Elephas maximus indicus: one gene and its partners. The protein of the gene in region 1 purifies or fractionates together with the protein of each later gene. This does not show direct contact. Links are inferred from orthologs where the notes say so. Each region holds a gene or a part of one and is shown on either strand. Other genes may lie near its edges. The genes, in order: AP2M1, AAK1, ITSN1 and BMP2K.

Region 1 (6,997 bases):
CCTGCGGCCATGGGGCCCCCAGGGGCCCCCACAGGCCGCGATCTGGCCTCTGTGCCCCCCGAACTGACCGCCAGCAGACAGTCGTTCCGCATGGCCATGGGAAACCCCAGTGAGTTCTTTGTGGATGTGATGTGAGCAGGGCCCCTCTCCACTTCCACCCCCATCCCGGCCGCCTGTGCCCCTCTCACCCACCGTCCGTCGTTTTTTACTTTGTCTGGTACCTGAAAGGGAAATAAATGGAAGGAAATGACGGCGCGCTAACTGTTCAAGGGACGCACTGAGGGTGGGGTGCACCCACCGATCGGCTTGGTACCCACTAACCTGCCTCTGGCCCCAGCTTGAGCTCTTGGCCCACTGACCGCTGAGCAGGATTTCCGCGATCCTTCGTGCCCTGGGCTGCTGTCTCCAAGTCCCCCAGACTTGCCGGTGCCACCCTTAATCTGGCCCTCACACATACACACTTAGGAACTAACCCTAGCAGCCCTTGGAGGCCTCTCAGCCCCTCGTCCTCTCCCGTCCCCCTCAGTTCCATTTCCCCATTCATTCAGCCCTGTCATCCCTCTGTTGACCTAACCCCTCCAGCACTGTGCAACCTCGACTTTGTCCAGCAGCATCGCTTCCCCTCCCCCCGGACATTCACTGAGCCTGCCCGCCTTAACTGTCCATTGCCTGTGCCTCAGTCCTGCACCCTGGAGCCGGAGCCACTTCCAGTAACCATCCATGCCATCCCTGCCTATGCCCAGCCCTGACCAGAGGCCCAGAGGGCCCCTGAGCTGCCTGCGTGGCACCCACCCGCCCTGTCCCTGCTGTGTCTGGCCTGCGTGCTGGTTCCTTCAGACCCCTAACCCTACTAACTGGCAGGCCTGTCTCACCTCTGGGCCTGAAACATTTCTTTTCTTTCTTTTTCCTCCCCCAATTTTTCCTGGGTCTGGAGCAGCCAAGAATTTCGGGCTGTTTGACTTTCTGTGAGCCCCCTGCAAAGGGAGGCCCAGCCTCCGAGGAGACCAGGAGCCCTGCTTGAAGAGCCCCTCAGGGCTCCCCAAGGATATCCAGCCCCCACACCTATACTTCACTATTGAGTTATTAGGCTTCCTGTGGAGGGCCCCAGCCTCTCACACACAGTCACTCGTGAGAGACTATGCTTGCCTCTCCAGAGATAGTGTTCTCTCTCTCTCTCACACACACACGCACACACACACAACGCACACGCACACACACACACATGTGCCTATGCAAGTTCACTCAGCCTCAGGGCTGGTCCCTGCCCAGAGGGCTGGATCCCTCTCTCCCAGTCCTCTCTCAGGTTGTGGGGCTGGTCCCCTGACTTCCTGCTCCCCTTCCTTGTACTCCTCAAGCCTTCCACAGTTGTCCTCATCATCTTCCTACCTGGATAAAACCCATAAGCTGGTTCTCAGGCTGGGCTCAGCAGAGGCACAGACCATTCTCACACATACCCCTCCCTGTTTTCACATTTGCGGTGACACCCCAGAGCCAGGACACAGGAGCTCACAGGCCAGTTGAGGTTGGGCAGGGGGACTTCTGGGACTTCCAGACAGAGTGCCAGGTTTTTTTTTTTTTTTTTTTTTTTACCTTATTCTTCACTTTAACCAAGTCATGACTGCTATAAATTCTCCTGGCTCACCTAGGCTCACTAAGGCACCCATATTTTCAGGGCTGAGGTATCAAGAGTAAGATGAAGTCCTTGGTTCCAGGCTTTGGGATGAACCAAATGCCAGGCATTTTGGCATTCATTCACTCAGCAAATACTTCCTGGGGCTTTGGTAAGCAGAGTGCTGTGCTGGAAGTGTGACTCAGTCTTGCTCACCCTCTGGGAGCTCTGGGTTCACTCTCAACTCAGTCCATGGCTTCCTGTTGATGCCACTGCGGGGCTGTCTCCTGCACTTCTCTGCCCTCTCTGACTGCCTGTCCAACTCTTGAGAATTCCTCTGCTGTTGCTCATGCCTTCAGTGTCAGTGCCCCCTGCTGTTCTATCTTTGGTCCACTTCTTTTTCCTTTCTATAAGACTCCCCAAATGGCCTCATCCATCATTATGTCTTCAGCTGCCACTGATATGCTGGTGATTCCCAGGTATATATCCCCATCCCCAACTTCTCCCCTCATCTTTAGGTCCATATTTTTATTACCCAATGGACATCTCCACAGACATATCCATGTGGACTCAACATGTCATCTTTCCCGCCAAGTGTGTTCCTCCTGAATTCCAATCCTGGTTACTTTCATCACAATCTACACAGGTTCACAAACTAGAAACGTTTCTGGGTTTTAATTCCTTCCTCCCATGTCTTACCAGTCAGCATATCATATCCATTCCATTCCAACAATCGTTCCTGAATTTGGCCCTTCCGCTCCCGTCTGCCTTTACTTATTTAGTTTGTTGGACCACGGAATTTGGAATCAGGTTGTTCTGGGTTTGAATTCCAGCTCTACTACTTTTTGGTTGTGTGATCTTAGGAGGGCTGTTTAACCTCCCTGAGCCTCAGTTCCCTTGTATGTAAAATGACAATAATAATACCTACCTCACAGGGTTGTTGTGAGGATTTAAATTAGATATTGTACGAAAAGTGCCTGGCACAGTACCTGGCACACAGTAGAGTAGGTGCTCAATAAATGGTGGCTATTATAATTACTGCTATTACTATTATTATTATTTAGTAAAAAATGATAGAAGTTTTGGATACGTGTGAGGAGCCCTGGTTGTGCACCGGTTAAAGCACTTGGCTGCTAACCGAAAGGTGGTTTGAACCCATTAGCCACTCGGAGGAAGATGTGGCAGTCTGCTTCCGTAAAGATTTACAGCCTTAGAAACCCTATGGGGACAGTTCTATTTTGTCCTGTAGAGTTGCTTTCAGTTGGAATCGATGGCAGTGGGTAGGATATGTGTGGAAGATAAAGCTTTTGGAGAGGTAGGAGTGAAGCCTCGAGTACTAGTTCACCTGTACTCAGTCACTTAATGGCTTCAGGTTAGGACCACGGTTTGAGGAGGCCAGACCTTCCTTCTATCACATTCTGTCTTCTGGCAGGAGGAAGCTAAGGACAGTGGGATTTGCAACCGGGTTTGCTCTTTCTTGCCCTTCCTCCCAGGACTGGTGCAGTCCTGCCCAGGGAAGGCAGCAGGGTGTCTCTGCCTAAGATGAGGAAAAGCCAATAGGTTTCCTTCAAGGTCCTGCAAGAGCCAAGCAGGCCTTTCATGTTGGGGGTTGGCTCTGTCTCCTCTCAGCCTAGATGTGAAGCTTAACTATTCATTAGACAAGGGGTTCCAATCCCATGTCTAATTAAAATCAACTCGCCAGACATTTTCTAAGCAAGATATGCAGCCCGTCGCTCGGAGACACACAGCTCTCGGCCTTGAGGAGCGCACGGTCACGTAGCTGAGGTAGAACACACGAACGCTCACGAAAAGCCGTAGCTAATTTCTTGCACATAATTGTCACCTCCCTTCCTACACCCCTGCTTGAGTCTTGATCCCTGGGAAAAGGCTCATGGCTCGAATAAATACATAACGAAAAAAGTTCGTGAGAATCAGAGGTGATGTTAGAAAGCAGTCAAACTCAACACAAACACTTGTACCAAGTTGTGTGTTTATGTGTAAAATAAGGACAGCCAGTCCTCAGACCTTGGAAACATAAAAGACCTACAGCAACCCAAACCTTAACAGATGGTCTTCAACAAAAACGTCACTAATCTCTGAGCCTCTCCAAAACGCTTAAATAGGCACAGGAGGGATTGCAGAAACTACACTTCCCAGAATGCTCAGTGGAGAAAATCAGGTGAGGGGGAGCGGCGTATGCCGGGATGTGTATTCAAAGAGTGGCGTGGAAGATGGGGGCGGTTTCCCGAAGGCTGTCGGTAATTGTAGTTTTGACAAGTCTGAACCGCTTACAATGGTAAGGGAGAAGCCGAGAGGCCTGACGGGATTTGTAGTCTCCGCGGGGCGGAGCTGACGCGCAAGCGCAGCTGAGGCCAGGGCGGGGCCGCGGCACTGCGGTGAAAGCCGAGGCAGCGGGCAGGCGAGCAGGGGGCGGGCGGACATCTTGGGATCCGGGGAGTGGAAGGACCGGGTGCCGCCGACACCAGGTGAGCTCGGGATCTGACCTTACCGGCGGGAGGAGGGCGCCGCGGGCCGTCTGCGCCGTCGCCCGGCTTTGCTCTTCCCCGGCCCGCACTCCGCGGAAAGCTGCCCACACCCGGGAGTGGCCTCAGCCTGCAGGCCCGGGGCGCGGCTGCAGGACGGGCGGGAGCGGTGGCCTCCACCTGACCCGCCTGGCGCCTGCCGGGACAGAGACCGAGCAGAAGCCGGGTAGAGCAGGACACCGCGCGGCGCGCCCCATCCCAGGATCGTGATCACCCCCTGCCCCTCGGTACCTTCTCTCAGCGCAAGGACAATTTCCCGGCTCCTAGGACAGTGACACCCCCTGTGCTGCCTCCTTGGACTGTGACAAGTCTCCCACCCCGCCGCACTCCCTTCTACCTGTTCAGCGACATCCCCAGCTCCTCGTCCTCAGACCTGTGACAGCCCCCGCACCCCGTGGCACCATCTTTTCCGCCGTGGCCCCCTCCCTAGGGCGAAAACACCACCACCCCCTCCATATCTCTGCACCTAAGCCCCAAAGCAAGCTCCAGCTCCCCGCATTGCCATTCACCACTGTCAGTCTCTCCCTGCCGGCCACCCTTCCCACCCCCAAGGCCTTGACCTTTTCCAGTCTCCAAAGTCTTTCTTCCCTGTGCCCCCACCAGCCCTGTTTGCTGCTGTGGGCTGCTGGAGTAGCCTGCCTGGGCTGTTGCTGCCAGCCTTTGCCCCTGACTAAATCTCCCGTTCCTGTCCCAGGCTCCACCTCTGTTTCTTTGTCGCCCGGAGCTACTTACCACTTCATACCCGTGAACTCTACTTCCATTTTGTGTTTCTCTCCCAGCCTCTTTGGGACTGAGGGATGGGATGTGGCCGCCACCCTGAGAAAGCCCTCACTGGTCCAGGAGACCTCCACAGCCGCAGTAAAAGGCTTCATTATGCAGTTTAGAAAAGCCTGCTAAAGTCTCCGCTGTGAAATTAATACCAGGGCTAATCCAGGCAACCTAGAGCCAAATTAACCCTTTTCATCTCTCAGTCCAAATTCATTTGACCCAAATAACTTGGATAATTCAGGCATTTCTGATAGGCCTGCGCCTTGGTTATGGGCACTCAGGCCAGACGTGAGCTAGTTGGTGGGTCTGGAATCACTGAATTTCAGCTGGAAGGATCTCTTCATTTTATCACCCTACCCCGCGCCCCCCCGCCCCGCCCTTATTTTTATTGCAGTCTAGAACTGAGAGGGAGCCTACCTTATTGAAAGTAGTTAGAAATAACTGTAACGAGCAGCTTGTGTCATTGAAGCAAAGTCTGCCAGGTCGGGGGCCTTTCTGGCCTCCTATTTGCCTGCTTATCTGACTGCCTGGGAGAGGCTGGAGCCACACTCCTGGCCCCAAACCAGGGCCAAAGGCCTCCCTTCCTTCCTCCTCTTTCCCCCACCCTGCACACCCTTTCTTGGAACGTTAAGGCTTCTGTGAATTAGAGATCCACGGTTCAGGCCCTGCCAGTGTCTCAGAGGGGTAGTGGAGCCTGAGCCCCAGGCCTGAGCCATCTGGACTAATTCCTGCTGCCATTCCAGCAGCTGCAGGCAGCCGGCCTTGCAGTGACTCACAGGCTGGAGCCTGAGTGATTCTGCACAAGAGGGGGCCGGAAAGGATCCTAGCTGGGCTCAGTGCTGGCAGGAGGGGAGGGGGCTACTCTGGGCCCAGCCCCAGAAGAGGGAGGGTCCAAATTGCCTTAGAATCCTGGGCCGTTCCAGTGTGGGATAAACAGGAACTGGAGGAGGCTGGCTGAGGGGAGGGGCATGCCTGGAAGGGCTGCAGGGTCACTTGCTGATGGGGTTGAGTTGGGGGAAAAAAACCCTTTGCAGGGCTGTGGGCAGGGGTTCTGAGGCCTTCCTGTACCCTGCCTCCCCCTGTCCTAGGTCTGTTCTAAGCAATGGGCTGCGGAGACTGAGCTGCCACCATGATTGGGGGGCTGTTCATCTATAATCACAAGGGGGAGGTGCTCATCTCCCGGGTCTACAGAGATGACATCGGGTGAGTGAGTCCCCTGGCTGAGCCAGCTGTGCCCCTGCCACCTGAGCCCCCCTCCCCAGCATGTGGGACCAGGTCTCTTCCCTCCGGAGGGTTGACTTGGGCCACCGCCTACCCTCACTGCATCCTGGAAGCTCAGCTAGTACAGCCTGGTTCCCCTTGGGTCTGGTGATGGTGGTGGGCCTGGCAGCTAGCTTGCAGGCCGCTGGGTGAGATTTGTAGGGTGGTGTGGCCTCCACAGGCTTCAGGGCTTCTGCCCTGCCTGCCTCCCTGTTTCCCTTAGTGACAGACCTGATTGCTGGAGGCAGTTGCTTTTGCCAAGCAGGTTGGTTCTTCCTTTGAGGAGAGGGATCGGTCTCCAATGGGTGGGGTCAGTGGCCAGGCTGGAGGTACTAATCTGTTCTAAGTTTTGTTCTTAGAAGCCCTTCTCATGTTGGGAGCCTTCCCTGGGCTCTCTTGGAAGCCTCTCCAGGCTGCAGAATCCTCTTCCACCTCCCTTTCTCAAGATAAATCAGGCTGCTGACTCACCTGATTTCAGTTCCTCTGGGCCATTTCTGGAAGAGAGCTTGTGGCAAGCCTGAGGCACTCACTCTAAGGTCTTTGCTGGAAGGAAGGATGGGAAGGCCATGCTGCCCTTTCTGGCTTGTCAGAGCAGACCCAGAACAGCTCCTTGTCCTGGGTCCCTCAGGTCTTAACAGGGATCTACAGCCTTACTCTCCATCTGTTCCACCATGTCCACCACTTTTCTTCCCTGACTGAGGGGACATATTCTCACCTCGGCAGCTCTAATGAGATTAGGCTCCACTTGTTCTTGCTACCCCAGTTGGACCTGTTGCAGTGCTCCATGGCTCCCTGGCTGATGGGCTGGCCTGGCCAC
Region 2 (7,457 bases), on another chromosome or scaffold:
AGACTCCAGTATCTAGTTTAATAACATATCCCCAAAGCCTAGCACAGTGCCTGGCACATCACAGGCACTCTGTAACTATTTGTTGAATGAATAAATAAATGAATGAATGCAGAGCTTATAGGCCCTAGCTTCCACATAAAAATATCATAATGTGTGATGTAGCAATTCTCAAAGATGAATCGTGGGGAAGAGGAGGGTAGCCTAGATAACAAAGACCAATTTTGCCTGTTCTTTTCCCCATCACTGAGAACTGGCATTGTTTAGGGAAGCACCATCTATAATGAGACAACATCCTAGAAGAACAAAATGCTCCTGGACTGAGGTCGGCAGAGACCATTCAGGAAGGAGGAAAGGGTGCTGCACCCTCTCATGCTTCCCGATTTCTCCTGCACATACACATTCCTCCATTTCTCCATCCCACTGCAGTCAAGGGCTTTGGCACAGGGATAAAAAGACACACATCAGACTCAAGGGTGCAGATCTGGCAGCAGGCACAGAAGCATCTCCCATCCTGCACCAAAGCCCACAGGAAGGATCCAGAGACACAGTGACTCAGGCCCCGGATTAAGTCCAGCTACAGCAGTACTGAGAATGGAAAAGAGCAGCAATTTCACAAAATCACGGTTGTCAGATATCTTTTTTAAAACAGTGTTTTTAAAGTACAGGTTTCGCCCCTACCCCCAGAGAACCCGGCCCTGCTGAATCCAGTGCTTACACACGCTAAGAGCCAAAGAGCTTCTTCCTCCTCCCAATCTATCTGCCTGCAACACTCACCATGACAGGCACTTCCCAGGCCCAGGTCGGGACGCTGGCTTCAACCTTAGCTTGCAAAAGGTTCCTAAGCTTTCTCCCCTCCTCCCCTGCTAATCAACTGTTTCTCATCCATATTGCAGTAATAAAGGCCACCCCTTCCCCCATCCCTTCTCAGTCTACAACAACCTACAGCAGGTAGTTTGAATAGCTTTATGCCAAGGAAATTGCTGCTTTTATTAAAAATAAAAGCACACTAAGCAGGCAATGGGCTGAGAAAAGTATGAGTCTGGCATAATTATGAAGGTCGAGGTTAAGGTTATCAAAAGAGACATATGAAGATTTCCCTAAAGCCTGGGGGATAAAGATATAGATCTATATATTTATAGCCATACACACCTAGGGAATTTACACAGCAGATCTAAATAACATCCTCTCCAACCAAGGAAAAACAAAACCAGAGCCACCCAGTTTTAGCTTTAAGTAATTCTTCTTTTGGTTAAAAATAAATAAATGAAATAGGAGGAAGAGGGCCCTACTAGACAGAATTGAGAATAACCACATTCATTTCACAGGATTTTTGCTATCTTAGCTACATTCTCGGGACCTAATTACAGTTGAGTCAGGAAACAAACCTAGACAAATCCACCAAGAGCCTCGGCTCTTGGCAAGTCACATTCCCATTCTCTGAAAATCCTCTTTCTTCCACTGCCTGCTCATGGAAGTAGGAAAGTTGGTTAGGAGGAGAAACAAATTCCTCTCTCTTCTTGAAGGTTCCCCATCCCCACCCTTCAGTCTTCACATCAATATTTCAAGTTTTAGGAGGATGACAAGCCCACTCCCCTGCATTTGATGTGAAGCGTTGTACTCTCACACATACGTTTTCTCCTCTGATCCTCATAACTCGGTGAGGCAGACAGGGGTGGCTTCTCAACATTGTTTTCTGGTTTTGTTTTGTTTTAATAAAAGGTCACTGAGGTAAACCATTTCTGGCAACCTTCCTCCATCCCCATAAGCCCTGTCACTTTCAAATCTCAGTTTTAAATCTCTCAAGGACAATGAACCACAGGGCAAGGGAAGGGGGAGGGGAGGTCAAGTGGTCAAAACCCATTCATACAATCAACATCCAGACAACCAGAGTCCTGCCGCATCGGCACACGATTTTAATTTACCAAGCACTGAAAGAGTCCCAACCGTACCTTCCGCCAACACCTCGTCCACAGTGACCTGCTGTCGCCCGATGCCAAAGACCCTTCCGATGTAGCCACTGCCCAGGCCCGAAGTGCTGCCCCCTCCTCCGCTGGAGCCGGAGCCCAGGCCAGAGCCGCCCTGCTCACGCCGGGAGTCGAAAAACTTCTTCATCTTGCAAAAAGAAAGCAGCAAAGCAAAACACGGATGGTTTCTAGATTTTTTTTTTTTTTAAGATAACAAGAAACCCAAGGATTTCTTCTCAGATTTCAGCTCCGAGAGGAGCCACCCGAATCCGGCCGTGGGGGTGGGGGCTGAGGAAGGATGCCTATAGGAATATGCGTGTCAATCGCGCGGCGGGTCCCCTCCTCCTCGGGAGAGCGATTCGTGTAAGTTTAAACCTGTGATGACAGAGGAAGAAAGAGGATGAATCAATAACACACTTAAAAATTCAACTGCTCAGTCCTGGCGAGGCAAAAGCCATCAACCTGGGGGAACGCTTCATGCATTTTCTTGGCGAGAAAAACCTCTAGGGTTGAAAATGCGTCCCCGGGGCTGGAAGAAAGGGGGCGTTCGGGCCGCCGTGGGCAGCAGCACCAAGCCAGCCGGGCACTGCTTCCCCCTCCTCCCGGTCCTCCCCGCCGCCCCGCGCGGCAGCATCCCGGAGGCACCCACTTGAGACGGCTCGGCGGCCGGCGCCCAGCTACCAGCCCCGCAACATTGTCACGGCCGCCGGGCCGACCTGCGACGCGGAGAGGAGGCGGCGCTGCAGCCAGAGCCCGGGCCGAGTTCGGCGCCCGCCCGCCCGCCAGCTGATCCCGGGAGCGCCCGGAGGAGACTAACCCTCCGCCCCTCCCCCGCGCGCGCTCCCGCCCGGCTCCATCCAGCCAGCCAGGAAGTGAGTCGTGCCGGAAGTGCCTCCCGGCCCGGCACGACGGGGGCGCCAGGGCGTCCCCTAGCCACCGCTGCTCTATCGCGACAGACGAGAAGCGGTGGCCTGAGGGAAGAAGGAGACAGGGGAAAGGCGATCTCGGTGCGGACAGTTTTGGAAAACAACATTGCTATCTCCCGACTTGCAGGGCACCCTGGGAAAGGTAGTTCGGCGCAGCCCAGCTGCGGGACTACAACTCCCAGGATGCCTCTGGAGGAGCTGGGAGGAGAAGGCAGCCGTGGCCTCCGCGGCGCCGAAGGTGGTTAGTTGGGTGGTGCATTTGTGGGGATTCGGTTATTTAAACCCATCCGGTAAACCCACTGCCTGGTACTAGAGTTTCTCTCCTGCTGCTTTTTCCACCCTTCTGGAGCCATCTTATTTGCGGCTTGACCTCTTGGCACAAGGGATTCTGGGGATTGTGGTTTCCCAAAGGATCGAGGCTGACATCTGAAGGACGCGGCTGCTTTAACCGCTTACCCCCTTGCACGTCCTGCGGGGCTTTTCGACTTCACTTGGGCAGAAGGTGGAAGAGAGAGGGCGACCGGGAAAATTTTGCTGACAGTCGGTCCTCAGGCCACACGGGAATGCGAACGTTAAAATCAATAAAACCGGCGCCTCTCCGCCCCCCATCTCCAAAGCTGTTTTTGCCCCTCCCAGATGTTACTGAGAACCCGCTCGTGGGTCGGCTCTGAGCGAGACGCTGTCAGAACGCTCGTAAGACAGTGTCTCGTCCGGGACCTTACTGGCGAGACTCCCACTGTGAATCTGCTAAAGGTTGTGTGCAAGGCAGACCCTAGGGAGACCCAGCCCGTCGGCTCCGCCCCAAACTTTGGGGCTCGCGTGCCAACGGTGACCCTTAATTCTTCTACCTTTGCTGACGTTCTGGGTGGTCCTGACTTTCACTGATAACCCTCCCACACAAGAACTCCAGGCTGACCTTTTAATTCTTTCTCACGTCAAGATTCCTCTTGATGCTTATTTTACCCTGATATCGCCTGAGTGCAGAGGATGGGGGTGGACAATGTGATTTGCTTCTGCCAAACGCAGAAGATTTGGAAGGCCTGTTGGTACTCTTCTCCATCGCTAGATCTCCTGATAAATGACGCCAGAGACAGTGACAAATCCCTGCCCCCCCCCAAAAAAAAGCTTTTTCTAACGCCTGAATATAGGGTATTTTTCACCTCCACCTGCTCGCTCTTCCCGTTCCCTAATTCTGCGACAACCTTCTGGCTTTTAATTCGCCTCAGAATTTTTTTCAGCAGTCATTTCAGGAGAGTTGAGAGGAGTGTCCAGCGAGAAGGAAATGGTTCTTGCTTTCTGTAATTTTGAGCTGAACTGTGGCTCGAATAGCGGGGCCGTGGCGGCGACTTCTTCTCCTTTTTAAGTTTCAAATTGTGCCACTACAATTACACTTCCGGTGTAGAGACTGCTTCTTTTCTTCCCGAGGGAATCAATGTTGTCGCCCATGTTCACAAACCCATGAGGCCAGCTACAGAGTGAAATGCAGAACCCACTAAAACGTCCCGTCAAGGCAAACCCACTGAGGCATGCACTTTCTTAAAAGGTGAGGCGTTGTTTATAAGGAAGTTGGACTAGATTAAAACACATGGGAAAGCTCATTTGGAATTTGATTCATTGCCGCCTGTTTTTCTCAGCACATGTTGATCTTAATTGACTGAAAGAGAGAGAAAGAAACTGTCTTGGGTCCTCGAACCTGTTGCTATCTCAGTTTTCACTTTTCTAGACTTGACTGTTCCAGATTAGGCTAGGTTTACACAAATCCCAAATTCTCACTACTGAGATACAAAAATTTGTTTTCTTCACTGGGATTGGTTGAGATAGCTAAATGTATTTACTGAACCTGAGTGCCTTGATGATAATCTAAGGGAGATGGGGAAAAAAGAAAAAAAAAAATTAGAAGACAGTGGCAAAGTGGTTAAAGAGCTCGGCTGCCTACCCAAAGGTCGGCAGTTTGAATCCACCAGCTGCTCCTTGGAAACCCTAAGGGGCAATTCTACTCTGTCCTACAGGGCCACTTTGAGTCAGAATCAGCTCCACGGCAATGAGTTTTTTGTTGTTGTTAGACTCCTTGCCTTCCATTCTCTCAGCAACTAATAGCAATTTTAATGGCAAACCCACAGTTTTTAAGTGCTCTGCATATATTAAGTTAGTGAATTCTCAGTACAGCCCTACGAAGTAAGATACTATTATTATAATACCCATTCTATAGACGGAATCGACTCAATGGCAGCAGGTTTTTTCATAGATGGGGAAACTGAGGCACAGAGATAAATGACTTGCCCAAAGTCACATAGATAGTAAGTGGCAAAGGCAGGATTCAAAACCCAAATATTTTGGTTACAGAGCCCAGTGCTTAACTGGCTGCACTAAACTGCCTTAGAGAAAGCAAACATAAAATGATGAACAGATTTGGTAATAATTAGAAATATGTCTACAAGCATCATGAGACTCACCATTGCTGTCAAGTCAATTCTGACTTAGAGCGACCCTATAGGACAGAGCAGAATCGCCCCACAGGTTTCCAAGGAGCATCTGGTGGATTCAAATTGCCAACCTTTTATTTAGCAGCCCTAGCACTTAACCACTATGTCACCAGGGTTTCCATCTAGGAGACAGTAAACCTCCGCTAGTAGTTGTGACCCTCTACCACTTAGATCTCTGGGCCTATTTTCTCAGCCATAAAAACAGAGCTCTCTTTCAACTCTCAGTAATTCTGTGGCTTCTGAGGGCAAAATAACCACAGGACAGCCCACTATGACCTCAAAACTCTTGCCATACTTACTTTCTGTATAATTCATTCCATCCTACTTTGCATTCCTATTCAACTTTTCATGTATATTGTCACCTCAACCAGGTACTTCAAAGGCAGGGAACAGTCTTCTGCTTATCTCTTTGAACATCCAGTACAGTAGTTTATATCTACTGCGTCCTTCTCAGTACTTAAATAAACCAAATAAATGACTCCAAATTAAATATGACCCCTAAGAGAGCAATCTGATTGAGGTAGAAAGATTGATTTATAGAATTGCTATGAGTTGGAATCAACCCGATGGCAATAGTTTGGTTTCTTTCTTTCCTGTTTTTTGATTTAGACTAGATGAGGAATCCCTGGGTGGTGTGAAACATTAACATGCTCGGCTGCTAACCAAAAGGATGGAGTTTGGAGTCCACCCAGAGGCACCTTGGAAGAAAGGTCTGTTGATCTACTTCCAAAAAACCAGCCATTGAAAACTCCATGGAGCAAGTTCAACTCTTACATGCACGGAGTCACCATGAGTTGGCATTGACTACTAGATGAGCTTTTTAATTAGACCTAGGAGATAGTATAGAGAAGTACTCATTTAAAGAGAAAGCAAAAGGAAGCTGACATTTACTATGATCTTCCATATGCCAGTTACTGTATTAAGCAGTTAGCATATCTTCTTGTTTAATCCTCGTGGCATCTCTGCAGGGTAGATACCATTATCATTATATGAAAGTAGATCCTATTATAATATTATCCCAATTTTATCAATGACTAAGTGAAGATTTTCTTAGTAACAGAAGGACATGCATGGTTTGGTAGGTTTGGTGGAAATGATTTGACCTGTGGGGCAGCTAAATCATGTCACAGTAAACCCAATTATAGCAAATGTGTGCTGCATCTTTAAGGGAACTCAAAGGGAAAGGGACCAACATTGACCAAGGACCTTAATTAATTAAGGTAGGCATTGTATTGGATGTTTATATAATATCTTTAACCTTTACAACACACCTGTGAGGTATGCATTAGTGTGGAAACAGGCTAAGAGGAAGTATGTTAACTATGCCTAGACACAGCCTGCAAAGGGCAGAGCCACAATCAAACTGATAGGCTACCAACCCTCATCATTTTCACTGCACCATGGTGCCATTCTATGTTCCCATCTTTTAACCCAAAGGAACTGGTTAGAAATGCAAATTTCTCAGGCCCCACCCAGACCTACTGAATAGGAGGGAGGGGCTGAGGCATTAATCTGTTTTCGCAAGCTATCTAAGGGGTTCTGATACACGTCCAAGTTTCAGAAACGATGTTTTGCCCAGAGGAAATTATAACAGCCATTTCCCTTCTTAAAAAAAAAAAAAAGAGCATTTCTTGGTTTTGTGTTTTCTGATTAGAAAAGTAATTGAAGAAAACTCATTGTAGCTTATTGAAGAAATAATAAAGATGAAAATAACAATCAACTGTAATTCTATTGCTGAGAGATATCTGCTATTGACATTTTGATCAGTTTCCTTTTAGCATTTTCTCTCTATAAAAAAAATATATATATAAACGCAAAATTTTTTGGGCATATTGGATCACATTGTAAACTTGTTACATAATATTTTATAACTTTTTCATTTAATAGTTTTCCATTTCATTACATATTCTCTAAAAATACTATTTTTAATGGCTGCTTAGTAATCAACCAATTCTTTACTGTTGAATATTTTATCATTTTATTAAAAATTTGTACTGTTATACATATGATTGGAATGAACATTCTTACGTGTACTGCTTTGATTTTGTTTTTCTAACTCTATGTTTCCATAAATAGGATAACTG
Region 3 (7,271 bases), on another chromosome or scaffold:
GAATTGTGGTGTTGACAAAGAATATTGAATATACCATGGACTGCCAAAAGTACGAACAAATCTGTCTTAGAAAAAGTACAACCAGAATACTCCTTAGAAGCAAGGATGGCGAGACTGCGTCTTACATACTTTGGACATGTTGTCAGGAGGGATCAGCTCCTGGAGAAGGACATCACACTTGGCAGAGTACAGGGTCAGCGGAAAAGAGGAAGACCCTCAAAGAGGTGGATTGACACAAGTGGCTGCAACAAGGAGCTCAAGCGTAACAACGATTGTGGGGATGGCTCAGAACTGGGCAGTGTTTCGTTCTGTTGTGCACAGGGTCGCTATGAGTCGGAACTGACTTGATGGCACCTAACAACAACGAAACTAAGTGACAAGGTTAATTTCACAAGATTTTCAAATTTGGTCTCAATGCAATGCAGGTCACTCGTTTACTCAACAAATATTTGATCTCTTTCCTCCAGGCACTATTCTAGGCCCTGAGGACACAGTGGTAAGCCAAAGTCTCAGCCCTTCTGAAACTTGGAGGACAGGTATATTACACAGGTGAAGGTCACGATCAATAGGCTTTCATGAGCAGCCTATGGTAAAACATCCTAGCATTTGAAAATCTTGCTATCCACTTAAAGATGTCGTCATAAAGAACTGCATACAATCCAGGAGACACTCAGTGACAAGGAAGCACAATACCAGTTGTTCTCCAACTTTACCACACAGGAAAGAGCCCTAGAGAACTTGTTGAAAATACCAATGCTGGAGTCCCACGCCCAGGCAATCTAACTCTGAGATGAGCTGACAGAAACAATAACCCTCAGTCATTGTTGATGTCTGTGATCTGAGGTCCAGAATTTGAGAAACCCAACCAGCCAGTGATGGAGCCCTTCAGAAGGGAATGATCACATGCAAAAGGCTCAAGACAGTGCTACGCAGGGGGATTTGAGCTGAGTAAGGTAAACCCAACCCTCGTATAATTCATTCTCTATAATTCACAAATTTAACAAATTAAAAAGATGGCTAAGACTAGAGGAATTTACCATCACTTTCTTCTTAATTTCCTACACGAGTTTTGAGAGTTTGTCTCTACCCAGGCATTTGGGGAAATGGTGAACACATGCAGAGTTCTATACCAATATTAGAGATAAGCATTAAGAAAGAAATTGCCAGCCAACAGAGAATAAATATGCTAAGAGTGAAAAACTTTTCAAGGAACTAGCTTGCTACCAGTCATTTTATGCCCTATTTCACAATGCCGAGTATCTATCTGAACAATCCACGGGGTTCCAAAGTACATTAAAAATGTGTTCATTTCCTCTCTTACTCAGGCAGAATAATAATAGTTTTGCGAAGGTACCACGTGCCTCGGCAATTTCAAGAGATACATTCTTTAGACAAATACCAATTTTTTTTAACCTACTGTCAGAAATGCCCCTTACTGGAATCACTTAAAGGTGGCTGAAATAATTTTAACGCTGAAAGAACTTTAATTTTTTTTTAAAGATGTCTTAGTGATAAGCAAACACTCATCAAAAACAACGCATTTCAAGACCAGCCAAAAAAAAAAAAAACTAAAAATCACAAAAAGTGTCTCTTCTTACACAGTATCTTGTTCTCAGATAACTTTGAGCTGTTTAAGCTTCTGCACTCTCAACCTTAAAATCATCTAAAAATAAAGATACCCAGGCAGACGCATGCAGCACATTTTAGGGGTTAAGAGCGCACCACGCAAACCGGCTGACCTGCCCTCAGACCCCGTCCACTAGGAAATCCGTAACCAGATCTCTCGGCATGTTTCTTCAGAGGTGCCACGGCACTAGTAAAACTGCCTCCCTGCTAACAGAACTGAAAATTTTCCAGATGACATTTGCTTGTTATTGTACTTGTTTTTAGGATCTGTGCTTTTTGCTGCCCTCGATTTTTATTATTTGCATGTTTCGTCCACGAAAATCCTTTAGGGGAGGATGCCAATAGATAATCGCACAAAGAAACGCATCTGGCCAGAAAAGCCTGCATGTATTTAAAATTTCGGATCGGTGCAGCACCGACGATGGCAAACTTCTAAAGGAAACTTCTCATATTTAAGAGGCTATCAAAAACCTCCATTGCCTCCAACCCCAAGGAGAAGCCACTCATCTGTTCTCCAAAAGCAGACGCTTCCTCGGTCCGAATGCCAACACAGAAGACGCCCGCAAGAAACGTCACCTGCGAACCGTCTTCGCGCCCCGGGCAAACGGCAGCCGAGATGCAGCCTCTCCCCGCGGCCCCCTTCCCGGGGCTGCGCGGCGTCTCCTCCCGGCCTGGCGCCCACCCGGAGCGAGGGCTGCGCGGGGAGGCGCGGCGGCCGGGGCTGCGGAGGGGCCGCGCTCGATGCGGCGCCCCTGGGCGGCCCGGCAGTCGGGCTCGGCCGCGCGGCATTGAGCGCCCTTCACCGGCGGATCATGCAGGCAGCCGGCGCCGCCAACGGGAGACGCGCCGTGGGCGCGGGGAGGCGGCGCCGGCGAGGGGCGAGGCTGGGCCGGCCCCCGCGCTCCGGCGGCCGAGGGCGCCCGGGTCAGCCCTGGAAGGACCGCCGGCCGCCGAGGGGGCCTCGCGCTGGAGGCGCCCCGCAAGCCCACGCCGGCCCGGCCGCCGCCCGGGAGGATGGAAGGGCGAGGCGCGCGGCGGCGCTGCAGGGCGGCCCCAGGGACGCGCGCCGGCCCGCGGGAGGGCGCCCCGGGCGGCCATGGCGCCGACCCCGCGACCCCCGCCCAGGCCGCCGCCCTCCGCCCGCCTGCTCCTCACCTCATCTCCAGGCGGATCCGCGCGGCCGCGCCGGGCAATCAGTGCAGCGCACACGCCGCGGGCAGGCGCTGACCAGCCGCAGCACCGCTCACCATCCCCGCCCGCCTCTCCGTCGATCCCGGAGCCCGCTCGGGATTCTCCCTCGCGAGCCGCCGTACTACGGAGCAACCAAGCTGCGCTCCCTCCCCTGGCCCGCCGCTGCTCTCTACCTCCTTCGCTCCCTCCCTCGCTCCCTCGCTCCTTTCTCCCGCCTATCTCCTCACATCCCTCGGCTGCCTCTCCCGCCCCACCCACCCTCCGTCCCCGCCCATAAGCGGGCGGGGACAAACAGCCTGCCAATCAGAAGAACGGGCCTAACCCTCCGCACCGCCCCCTATCGCTAGCTCCGCCCACCGCGGGCCCGAAGGAGGAGGAGCCGAAAGGGTGGAGGAGGACGGAGTGACAGCCGAATAAGCCAATCAACATGCGCGAATGGGGCGGGCGTAGGTCTCTTGCCTCCCCACCCCCACCTCCTCCGCGAAGTCGTAACCGGAGGTTTCTGGTCTGTGATTTCTGTGTCGGGGCTTATGGAGTTTAGATCCACGATTTCAGTGCATCTGTCATTGCCTTTCCAGATACTAGATAGGGTGCGTTCAACTAACTTAGTTACGGAAAGTGGTCAGGAATACGGTGGGACTGAGGAAGGGTGTGGTCTTTAAACATAAATTTGCATAAAACCTCCCCCGTTTATTGGTAGCCCCTAGTGAGGGGCCTGGCTCCGCCCCCGCGCGGGCATGCCGGGAGATGTAGTTCCGAATCCGGTTGCTATGGCGTTCTGCGCAACCTCCGGAGGTCGTGCCCAGCCCTGCAGGAGTGACGAGTTAACAGACCAATAGGAGCAGCAGCGTGGAGCGAAGGGGCGGGCTCTCTGCGGAAGGGCTTGAAGGTGGCGGTGGCTAAGCTGCAGGGCTTTGGGGCCGCCCGGAGACAGGTGAGCCTCGGGAAAGGCGATGTGTGTCTTGGGTGTCAGGGCTTTGGGGGAAAGGTGGAAGGACACCGAGCGGAACCGCCAGCTCTGGGCGGGTGGTGGTTCGCGTCGCATCCCCACCTCAGACGTGCTCACGTCCAGGCCTAGCTTAGCCGAGGCCGCACAGGAGCGGATAAAACTTGGCGGACAGTTTCCTGGCGCGTTAAAATACCAGGAAACCGAACCCATGGCGGTCGAGTGCATTCCAACTCCTAGCGACCCTGCAGGACAGAGCAGAACTGCGCCATAGGGGTTTCCAAGGCTGTAATCTTTACGGAAGCAGACCACCACGTCTTTCTCCCGCCCGGCTGGTGGGGTCGCACCGCCAACCTTTCAGTTAGCAGCGAGCGCTTTAACCACTGCGCCACTGGGGTCCTTACTGGCCCTGTATGGGTTTTTAATTGTAGGTTTTATCTCCGTTTGCATCTCTCTCCCCTTCTACTTATCTCCCAGGTTTCGTCTATCTCCCAGGTTGCATGTATCTCCCTTGCTTTTTCTCCCTAACTCTTCTTTCCCCTGTACCCCTTCTATAATCAATTACCGAAAGGAAGGTGGCTTTAGGGCCAGATTTGCTCTCTTCATCCAGCCAAACAGCCGAATACCCCGGAGCAATGCGGAAGAATCACCTGGGGATTTTGTCAAAGTGCAGAGACCTATTGTCTGGGGACAGGCCTGAGAACCTCCTCCTAGGAGCTGCCAGTCCTGTTATGGGTACCAAGGTGCCTCATCAATTCTATCCAATGCAAATACAATGCGAACCACTTAGGTAACTTTAAATTTCTGGTGTCCACATTTTTAAAAAGTGGGAAGAAAAACGTGAAATTAATATAGTAGTATATTTCATTTGGAAACCCTGGGTGGTGTAGTGGTTAAGTGCTACAGCTGCTAACCAAAAGGTCGGCAGTTCGAATCCTCCACGCGCTTCTTGGAAACTCTGTGGGGCAGTTCTACTCTGTCTTATAGGGTCCCTACGAGTCGGAATCAACTCGACGGCACTGGGTTTGGTTTTGGTTTTTTTATATTTCATTTAACACAGTATAGCCAAAACATATCAATAAGTAATCAATATAAAAGCTGAAGTTTTTTTTTTTTTTTCCTAAATCTTCGAAATTCAGTCTTTTGCACTTAAAGCACATCTTAATTCCGACCAGGCAAGTGCTCAGTAGCCACATGTGTCTAGTGGCTGCTGTGTTGGACCGTCCCTGTAGATCCAGATGATATAATAAGCCACTGCAGAAACTGAAAGGTCAGGTTGCTCATAACCAGACTTTTTGTCTCTTTGTGACACAAGCTGAAGAGCTACCTTAGAGGTTCTCTCCCAATTTACAGAAATAAGTAAATATATTGAATGCTAATTTGGTGCCCATTGCTGTCCAGTTAATTCCAACTCAGCTACCCTATAGGACAGAGTAGAACTGCCCCAAAGGGTTTCCAAGGAGCCGCTGGTGGATATGAACTGCCAGCCTCTTGATTTGCAACCGAACTCTTAACCACTGCGCCACCAGGGCTCTTACAGGTATTATTTAATCCTCACAGCAACTGTGTGAAGTAATTACTACTATTATACCTATTTTATAGGTATGAAAACTAAAGCCCAAAAACTCAACCAAACCGAACCTGTTGCCATCAAGTCCATCCCAACTTATGGCAACCCCACGTGTTACAGAGTAGAACTGCTCTTTTGGGTTTTCATGCCTTCCACAATGCTGCTGGGTGGGTTTAAATTGCCAAACTTTGGGTTAGTTGACAACCATTTGCACCACCCAGGAACCAAATTAAGGCTCCCTCGCCCCCCCCAAAAAAAAACCAAACAGATTGTTGTCCAGTCAATTCTGATTCATGGTGACCAGAAAGGTTAAAAGTGGCCCAGAGTCATACAGCTAGTAAGTAAGGGGGCTAGGATTCACTTAGGCCAGTTGTGACATATAAATCCTGTCTACAACCACTGCAGAGTATTCTTACTAGCTTCACTTTGCTGATGCTCCTGCTCCAGATTATGGGAGGGGATGAGATGTTCACATTTGAAATGGAGAGGGCTCCCCACAAAATCAGGCTACCTCTCACTGAAGTGGTTTGATAGATTTACAACTCTCTGTACTGTGATTTTAAAATGAAAATTCTGGATTGAAGAAAAGAGTTGAGAACCTCAAGGAAGCACTTAGGCCTCTAGACCAGGGCTGTACCCTGGTCAGTAATGAGTCTTGATTCATTTTTGTCCTTCCTCAAAGAAGGAAGGTGGGTGAACTTGAAAATTCTTAAAATACTTCACTATGGAATCACAGTGTTTTTTGTTTTTGGTGAACTCTCTTTTTTCTAATTGATAAACATGAAGGTTTTCTTGCCCCTAAACGGTGAACTTTACATAGAATGTTTCAAAGACAACATTAGAAAAGCTGTCTTTGCTTTTCTTAAAAAAAACCCAGTGCTGTCGATGCTTTTCTTAGCTCCAAAGAATTAAGGGGAGTTTTTAAGTAGACGAGCAGGAATACACATATCCACACATGATAAGATATGGTATTTTACAAAATAATTTTCTTCCATTTTTGTACATTATAAATATGATACATTTTATGAAAATTATCTTTTCTTGATTCTGAACATACTGGTAAATATTTAATCACATTACAATTCATATTTTATACTGAAGCAAACAATGGATTCTTCAAGATGCCTGTTGCTGTTAGCTGCACGGCCACCCCATGAGTGTCAGAGTAGAACTGTGCTCCACAGGGCTTTCTTTGGCTGATTTTTGGAATTAAATTGCCAGACCTTTTTTCCTAGTCCATCTGAGTCTAGGAGCTCCACTGAAACGTGTTCAGCATCATAACAACATGAAAGCCTCTGCTGACAGATGGGTGGTAGCTCCACAATAGGTGCGTTGGCCCAGAATCAAGGCAGGTCTCCCCCATTAAAGGGAAGAAGTCTACCACTGAACCAGCAATGTCTCCAAGATACTATAGTGAATTCGAAAATTAAATAAGCATTTACAAACTGCAATAATAGTAAACCAAAAAACCAAACCCGTTGCCATCGACTCATTTCTGACTCATAGTGACGCCATAGGACAGAGTAGAACTGCCCCATAGAGTTCCCAAGGAGCGCCTGGTAGATTCGAACTGCTAACCTTTTGGTTAGCAAGCATAGCTCTTAACCACTATGCCACCAGGGTTTCCGCAATAATAGTAGGTAGAGAAAAAATCAATTGCCATTGAATCACTTTTGAATCATGGTAACCCCATGTGTGTCAGAGTAGAACTGCTCCATAGGGTTTTTAATAGCTGATTTTGGAAGTAGATCACCAGGCCTTTCTTACTAGGTGCCTCTGGGTGGACTCAGACCGTCAGCCTTTCAGTTAGCAGCTGAGCAGGTTAACCATTTGCACCACCCAGGGACTCCAGTAGGTGGAGAAGACTGCCGTGGTTAAGTCGAATGGAAAGGAGGGAGAGGAGTGTGGTAGAAAGTAACAAAAATTCCTCAATCGTTT
Region 4 (7,435 bases), on another chromosome or scaffold:
TACAACAGAAGTGTACTCCTGCAATTTTTATTTAAAAAACATTATATATGTATACATACACAAATAAGTATGTGTGTGTGCGCAAGCGCATACACACATGCATATAGAGAGAGGTAGGAGGCCTGGCTGCACGCTGGTTAAGAGCTTGGCTGCTAACCAAAAGGCTGACAGTTCGAATCCACCAGCCGTTCCTTGGAAACCCTATGGGGCAGTTCTACTCTGTCCTGTCGGTTGCTATGAGTCTGAATCAACTCGAGGGCAACAGGTTTGGTTTGGTATATAGTGGTGGGACAGAGACGGACTGGTTTATCAAGACACTCAGCAAGCTGCCTATGTTTGCAGTAAAAAAAAGCACACAGCTTCTACCGTTCTAGACCTGTTTAAACAACACTGACCCAAAGCAAAAAATGTAAAATCTACCAAGTTTGTTTCTTGGTCTGTCTTAGCTGCCACCCTTTTTCCCACTCACTGGTATCCCTCTCCCCAGTACAGATACTTTAAAGTCTAATCCCATTTCACAAGCACTTGCCCGAGTCTTATAATCAGGCAGATGTATCTGTCAGTTATTGAGTGATCATGCTTGAATGTGAACCAGACTTGCGCTTAAGCATCTTGTTCTAAATTGTGGCATTATTTACTTGAGAGGGAAAGAGGATATTAAGCATCTCAAATCAGAAGAAACCTGTCAGGATCAAAAAGTAAACTGAATACGGATAATTTCAATTGTGTGTGCTAGACAGAGAAGAATGGTTCAAGGGAAGAAAGCCTAGTTGTCAGTTCCCCTCCAGAGAAGGCTGAAAGCCTAGTCCTAGGAACTGGGTTGGGGAGTGTGGAGTTCTTCCAAAAGGTTTTCTTCAACCTTTGCTTCCTCTCGTCTTAATTCTGTCCTCTTGTTCTTCTATCTATTGTTTCTCAAAAACATGTTTTATTTCCTGTCATCATCTATAGTTAGCATTTGATTACTGATTTTTTTTTCTAAAAGAAATTACAAATTTATGGCAAAAGTCAATGGAACACTAACGGTGATGTTAGTGTTCGAAAAGGTATTTTTTGTGATTTAGTGAGGACTCTCCATTTAAAATACTTCAGTTTTGTTTTCCTTTTCTAAAATTACTCCTTTCTAACTGAAAATGACTTGCTTTCTTTCTTATTGAAAATGACTTGCTTAGAGTAGTGCTAGGATATGTTCGGGTCAGTTATACAAGCTACAAATTCAAAGTCAGTTTGATGTAATGTCGATGTTTCCTATTAAATAAAAGATACACCTCGGATTTAGTGAAATGAGTAACACTACTCAAAGCTACACTTCAATGATTACTAAAACAATCCAAAGACAGAAGTACAGCATTTTCATTAGTAGCAATATCTTCTTAAAATCTACAACCTAATCTAAACCATCACCTAAAATTCATGAATGAAATACAGAGCACAGTAAATCTAAACATCGACAACAATCACCATATATTCACTCTTTTGGAGAAACTAAGGATCCTCCTTCTCCCACCTCTCCAACACTCTTACCTGTTCCAGGCAACAGCTTGCAAAACAATGGCATCCATCCCTGAATAATCCAAGATTTCTTTCTCTTGAGAATATAGACAAAAATCTTCAGGTTTTTCTCTTTTACTAATTTCCTATTTTATGACATTTCATAAAATACAAGTGGAAATCTCAATATAGCATTTTCAAACCACATAAACGTGTAAACCCCAGAGAACCAAAACTACTGTCTTCAATTGCTTTCCTCTTAACCTTGGGACTTAGAAGGACCACTTAAGAACAGAAATTATTTCTCAGGATGTTTTAAAAGTACTTATTTGTATTGTCATTTTGCAATAAAAAAAACTCAAAGGTCAATGTAGCATGCAGTTAACTGTATTTTCTACAAGCCAATTATACAAAAAATACAAAACTAAAGTGTAAATCTTTTCTTTTAAATAAACTTTTTTGTAAGCAGACTTGTGCCTGCTGTCACAGATAATGAAAGACTGACTACAAAACTTCAACTTGGCAAGTGAAAGCTAACCTCCTTTCAAGTCACCTTTTTACTACCAAAGAGACATATTTGAGAAGGCACAAACAGTACCTTGTCTCATAGAGAAGATTCTGAATAAAAAGGATTAATAATCTTCAAATTTACCTGTTCCCCAAAAGCAAATCACTAATTGGATTTGGGGCAAAATATCGCCTCCACAATACACACACACACACACACACACACACACACACACACACACACAAACAAACGCTGCTTTTCAGCTGATGACTGAGCAGAAGCAAACCCAGACTCCACACCAGGGGCTTCAGGGTCCTATGCCCTGAGGTGCGGGTGGAGAGTGGGATGAAAAAGCCAACGCATGACACTCGCCTGAGCCACAGCTGGCAGAACAGAGCCTCAATCCTGCTCAGTCTGACCCACTAATGAGTCACTGGTCCAATCATGACACCACAGCACTTGTAGGACGTTTTCTATTTATTTTCCTCGCGTCGAGGACAGAAAATGATTTAAACTCGTAATGAGAGAACTGTGAACTGATCAGAGCTACCAGCGGCGAGAAAAGCTGGCTTAAGAACGAAAGCCCGAGCGTCTTAAGAGACTCCGCTAGCCCAGCAGAGGAGGCAGAAAGGGGAGAAAGAGTGAACCCATGGGACGAAGAGAGACGAGAACCAGGACCAGATGAAACCACCACCACACCCCAGCCCTCCCTCACCTGCCTGCCCGAGCCTCCCCGGGTGCCCGTACCTTCGGCCAGTGACTCCTCCAGGGTGACCTGGTAGCGCCCGACTGCGAACACACGGACCCCCACGGACGAGCCGCCAGAGCTGGAGCCGACCCCGACCCCGCCGGCCGCGGCACCCGCCGCTCCGGCGCCGCCGCCGCAGCCCTCGGACTTGGGCATCCGAGAGAACTTCTTCATGGTCCCGCCGGTGCGCAGTAGGGCGCGGGGCGCGCTCAAGGGCGAGCAAGAGGGCAAGTCCCCGACCCGGCGCGCGGCCCAACGTCCGCGAGGGGTCGCCGCTCCTCGCCGTTCTGAGCGTTCGTGCGCGGTGCGGCCCGCCGAGCCTCACATTCCGCGCGCCCCGAGCGCACAGCCCCGGCCCCGCTGTCCGCTCCGCGGCTCCGCTGCAGCTGCCGGGCTCCCGCAGAGGGCGGCGGAGGGCGGGGACGGGGCGGGGCGCGAGGGGGCGGGTCCGAACGCGGGGGCGACACCGCCTCGGCAAGTGCCCCGGGTGCCCTCGCTGTCCCCTAAGCGCCGGGAGCGAGGCGCCGGGAGCGAGAGGCCGGGAGGAGGGCAGGAGGGAGGGGCACGGAGAAGGGGGCGGGGCGGGCGGCCCCTCCAGGGAATGGGCTGGACCTCTCGGCCGCAGGCCCTCAGGGTCGTAGCCCGCCGCGCCGCCGCCGCCCGAACTCGACCCGCGCCGCCCGCCACTCGCGGCCGTTGGCGGCGCGGCGCTGGTGCCAACCGCTCACCGAGGCCGGGCCCCCGCGCAGGCGCACTGCCCGCGCCGCCGGAAGTGACGGTTCCGGCTGTTGTCACGTGGAAGGGAGCGGGGGAGGTGACTGTGGGGGTTGGGGACAAGGGCGAGGTGCGGGGTGCGGGGTCCAGGTCCCAGCCAAGAAGGTTCGGGTCAGCCCCGTGGGGCCGGCTGCAGCGCTGGCCACGCTTCGGGGTCTGTCATCTCGGATGGGAATCTGTATGTCACTCTGGGGCTTAAAAATGCCGCCAACAACTTAATCTCCTCCAAGGAACTTTTCTCGCTTCACTTCTAGCCAGTTTTCTAGACTTTGTCCCCTGAGGCTCTTCCCCCGCTCGCCCACCCTGAGCGTGGGAGGTGGGAGCAGCACGAAACTAAAGCGGATTCCAGTAACCCGACTTCTAAAGCCACGGTGTCATCGCAGTGTGTAGCAGAAGCTTGTACTGACAAGAGTTTTGCGATTTCAGATTACTTTAAAAAAAAAAAAAACCTGGTGGATTATTTTAGGAGTACTTAAAATCTCATGTGTGTTCTGCAACTACTGTGTGAAGTATTCAGAGCAGGTATTAAGTTCGTTTTACAAACCATCACCTTTGGCTAAGAGAGCTTAACGACTCGCCCAAGGTCACACAGCTGGCTCTTATGGTAGAGCTGAGACTACAACGTCCGTCCTTTGGTTCTTAATTCTTTGCTTTTGGTCATACTGAAAAAGTAGGTTAGGGTCGGATCGTTGAGAGGCTTGGAAAACGGGCAGATTTAGGACTGTTTGGAAGCAAAAACAGCCATTGAAGTTGTCCCCCGTTTAACAGAGATTTGCTCATTACAATTTCCTAAACTGCATAAATTCTGCAGTCTCAATGCGGGGAGGGGGATGGGGAGAAGTAAAACAGGCAATATGAATAGGAAGAACATTGGCGGGTTAAAGAGTAAACACGGTATGCACTCACTTGCATTGAGCAAGGTCCAAACGGGCTTAATTGCAGTACTTGCTAATCTGGGGTGAGCAATTTTACATGGGTTTCACCAGATCTGTGGTGGGGAACAGGTGAAATTGTGCACTGTAGATTGGTGGGAAGGCACCGTTGGGCCCCTGCATACGTTGCTTGTTGAGTCATCTGGTCCTGACCAGGAGTAGTAAAAAAAAAAAAGTAAGGACTAGCAAATTGTAGAGCATGTGTAGAGACCAGACATTCCTCAACTCCAACCTACTTATCCGTTTATGATTACCTGCCCACCGTGGCCAGAGGTTCCAATTTCTTAAATCAGAAACCTGAATTTTTTTTTTTCTTTTTTTAGTGTGGCATTTCCCCAATTTTTGAACATGTTGGCCAAATAAATCATGCCTACAGAACTCCAGTACATACCTTCTGTGAAAGTAGATGAATGTCGTTCTGTTCTCCCTCCCCTCAATTCTTTCTCCAAATTTTTAATAGGATACAGACAGAAACATTAGAAAATGTGCTTAGGCCAAAGAGACTTTGAGCTTAAAGTCCTTCACTCTTCTCTGCAGTTTGAAGTTTTTCTCCCAACACTGAAACAGTACTGGGGTTTGGCATTTCTGCTGCATAATCACCAAGCTAAGTTTCCTCATCCAGCTACCTGACCTTTAAAGTATATACTCCAGCCCTATGGAAGTCTGATTATATGTTGGATGACTGATGTGGTGTGACAGTTGGGGATTTCCGTTTAGAAATAAACTGACCATTTTCCTTACTATGGGGATTCACTGTGATGTCTCATACCTTCAACATTTGAATTACGTTTTTCAGGTATTAAAGTGGAGAAATCTGATCGTTTCATGGAATTTGAAACTGCAATCAATCTAACATACAAAGTTTGGGCCTAATTCAACTTTACCTAAGCATAACACAGGAATAAATGAAGTCGTATGTGATCAGTTTAGGAGTAAATTTATCACAATTGCTATGGCCAAAAAAATTACTTCTATGAGTCAATGTAACCTAACTTCTGATATTGAAGTTTATAATTAGTTTAAGGCATAGACCTTGTCTCAAAAACTATGAGTAACACCAAGAAATGTGTTCTTTAATTTTTTACCATGCATGTAATAAAATCTGAATATCCTCTGATCGTCGCAGAATGTTAACTCCACAATTTTCTATGACAGCCAATAACATATTACTAATAAGAATGCCAAAACTTGTATTACCAATACTAAGAATGTATTACCATTTACAAACAACTTTAATACCAAAGGACATTGATATTTTCACATTATATCCTCCTAACAAGAGGTCCTGAGTGGTGCACACAGTTTTGTGCTGGGCTACTCACCTAAAGGTTGGTAGTTGGAACCTACCCAGCAGCACCACAGAAGAAAGGCCTGGTGATCTGCTTCTGCAAAGATTATAGCTAAGAAAATCTTAGCTGTTACAACAACAATGGGTTTGTTTATTTTTTTGTATCCTCTTAACAAGCTTGCAAGTTAAAAACGAGTATCCTTAACCCAATTTGTAAACGGAAATTGAGATACTAAGGGCAGGCTTTCAATGAGTAGAAAAACTGTATTGAGAATTCTAGTCTTTAAGTAAGGAGCCCTAGTGGTGCAATGGGTAGGCATTTGCCTGCCTGCTAACTGAAAGGTCAGTGGTTTGAACCCACCAGTGGCTCCATGGGAGAAAAGACCTGGTGATCTCCTGTGAAGATTACAACCTAAGAAGCCCTATGGGGCAGTGGTACTCTGTCGCATAGACTTACTATGAGTTGGAACTGGTAAACAAAGTCTTTTAGTGTTGCACTCATTATTTGACCATGGCTATGGAAGAACATCCAATTTGACATCTTTTTGAGTGACTTATGGTGGCACAGTGGTTAAGAGCTACGGTGAGCTACATCTGCCAGCAAAAAGATCGGCAGTTCGGATCTACCAGCTGCTCCTTGAAAACCCTATGGGGAAGTACTACGCTGTCCAATAGGGTGGCTATTAGCCAGAATCGACTCAACGGCAATGGGTTTATTGTTTATTGTAAAAACACAGGTATAGGAAAGTTTAGTACAGATAAAATCACATTTCAATTTCTTATTAATATCTGAACCAAATGTTTATATACTGCTCTAAAAATAGTTGGGAACTAACAACATAATACTTAAAAAAAAAAAAGATTGCTTCACTTTGCAAGGTTTCATGTTACACTTCTGTCAAAGCCAAGAGATGATTGTAACTAACTAAAGGATTCTGAGATCCCTTAAGCAGGAAGGATTTTGACAATGGAGAAAAAACTAATGTTATATTTTTGTCTTCTAGTGGAAAACTATAACTCTTCTTGTTACTTTGACCCATCTATTTTGCATTACAGATCAAGCAAAATACACTTATCCCAAAAGGCTTATTCCAGTGCCACGATTACCTTTATAAGTCATTTCTTTAGATCTTGATTATTTTTCCTTACTAGTCAGCAATTTCCTTTGATGACATGTCCTCTATCATGGTTAGCCTAACAGGAGTAATTCTCCCTCCCTGGCATTATAACTAATTAAATGTCCATATGTTTGCTTTCCAAAAAAATAAAAGTTCTAAAGTCTTTTAAAAGGATATATACATGTCTTCATGATGAGAACGAATGATTTTTTTAGCATCTCTGATACTTAAATCCTCTGTTAAAACTACTGAACATCATCACTATACCTTGTAAAAATTTATATAGTTCTATGAATATTCAGTCTGATAGTATAAAAAATGCTAAGCTGCTCACGAATATTCTTAATAGAAAAAATGTCTCATTTGACTTGAAATACTTTTCTATGGTAGACTTTTTCCTACACCTTGACCATGCTTTTAAAAAAGACTTCAAGGGGTAGGCAACTTTGCTACCAAGAAACATGCTTTGGTGAATGGAGGAGCATCTGCCACCTGGAACAGCTCCATGGCTTCACACCTCATGGCAAGGATAAATCCCTGCTTAAAGAAGTATTGTCCTAGAGTAAGAGCACAGTCCCA

The links.
Region 2: the proteins of AP2M1 (region 1) and AAK1 purify together in Homo sapiens (affinity purification with mass spectrometry; 5 studies listed by BioGRID and IntAct, counting the BioPlex papers as one, with this or other methods). This does not show direct contact. The link is inferred for Elephas maximus indicus from reciprocal best matches to the Homo sapiens genes AP2M1 and AAK1.
Region 3: the proteins of AP2M1 (region 1) and ITSN1 purify together in Homo sapiens (affinity purification with mass spectrometry; 3 studies listed by BioGRID and IntAct, counting the BioPlex papers as one, with this or other methods). This does not show direct contact. The link is inferred for Elephas maximus indicus from reciprocal best matches to the Homo sapiens genes AP2M1 and ITSN1.
Region 4: the proteins of AP2M1 (region 1) and BMP2K purify together in Homo sapiens (affinity purification with mass spectrometry; 3 studies listed by BioGRID and IntAct, counting the BioPlex papers as one, with this or other methods). This does not show direct contact. The link is inferred for Elephas maximus indicus from reciprocal best matches to the Homo sapiens genes AP2M1 and BMP2K.

What each region holds. Positions count from the first base shown.
Region 1 is NC_064819.1:30,892,519-30,899,515, reverse strand, and holds the start of AP2M1 (AP-2 complex subunit mu), read left to right. Parts: upstream 1-3,989; 5' UTR 3,990-4,095; intron 4,096-6,008; 5' UTR 6,009-6,049; coding exon 6,050-6,123; intron 6,124-6,997. Other genes in the region: DVL3 (segment polarity protein dishevelled homolog DVL-3), read left to right, coding at 1-135.
Region 2 is NC_064835.1:66,581,772-66,589,228, reverse strand, and holds the start of AAK1 (AP2-associated protein kinase 1), read right to left. Parts: upstream 3,005-7,457; 5' UTR 2,681-3,004; exon of another isoform or gene 2,614-2,680; intron 2,340-2,613; 5' UTR 2,113-2,339; coding exon 1,950-2,112; intron 1-1,949.
Region 3 is NC_064836.1:27,968,551-27,975,821, forward strand, and holds the start of ITSN1 (intersectin-1), read right to left. Parts: upstream 3,017-7,271; 5' UTR 2,782-3,016; intron 1-2,781. UniProt on the Homo sapiens protein: Adapter protein that provides a link between the endocytic membrane traffic and the actin assembly machinery. Acts as a guanine nucleotide exchange factor (GEF) for CDC42, and thereby stimulates actin nucleation mediated by WASL and the ARP2/3 complex.
Region 4 is NC_064823.1:78,278,817-78,286,251, forward strand, and holds the start of BMP2K (BMP-2-inducible protein kinase), read right to left. Parts: upstream 3,012-7,435; 5' UTR 2,919-3,011; coding exon 2,744-2,918; intron 1-2,743. UniProt on the Homo sapiens protein: May be involved in osteoblast differentiation.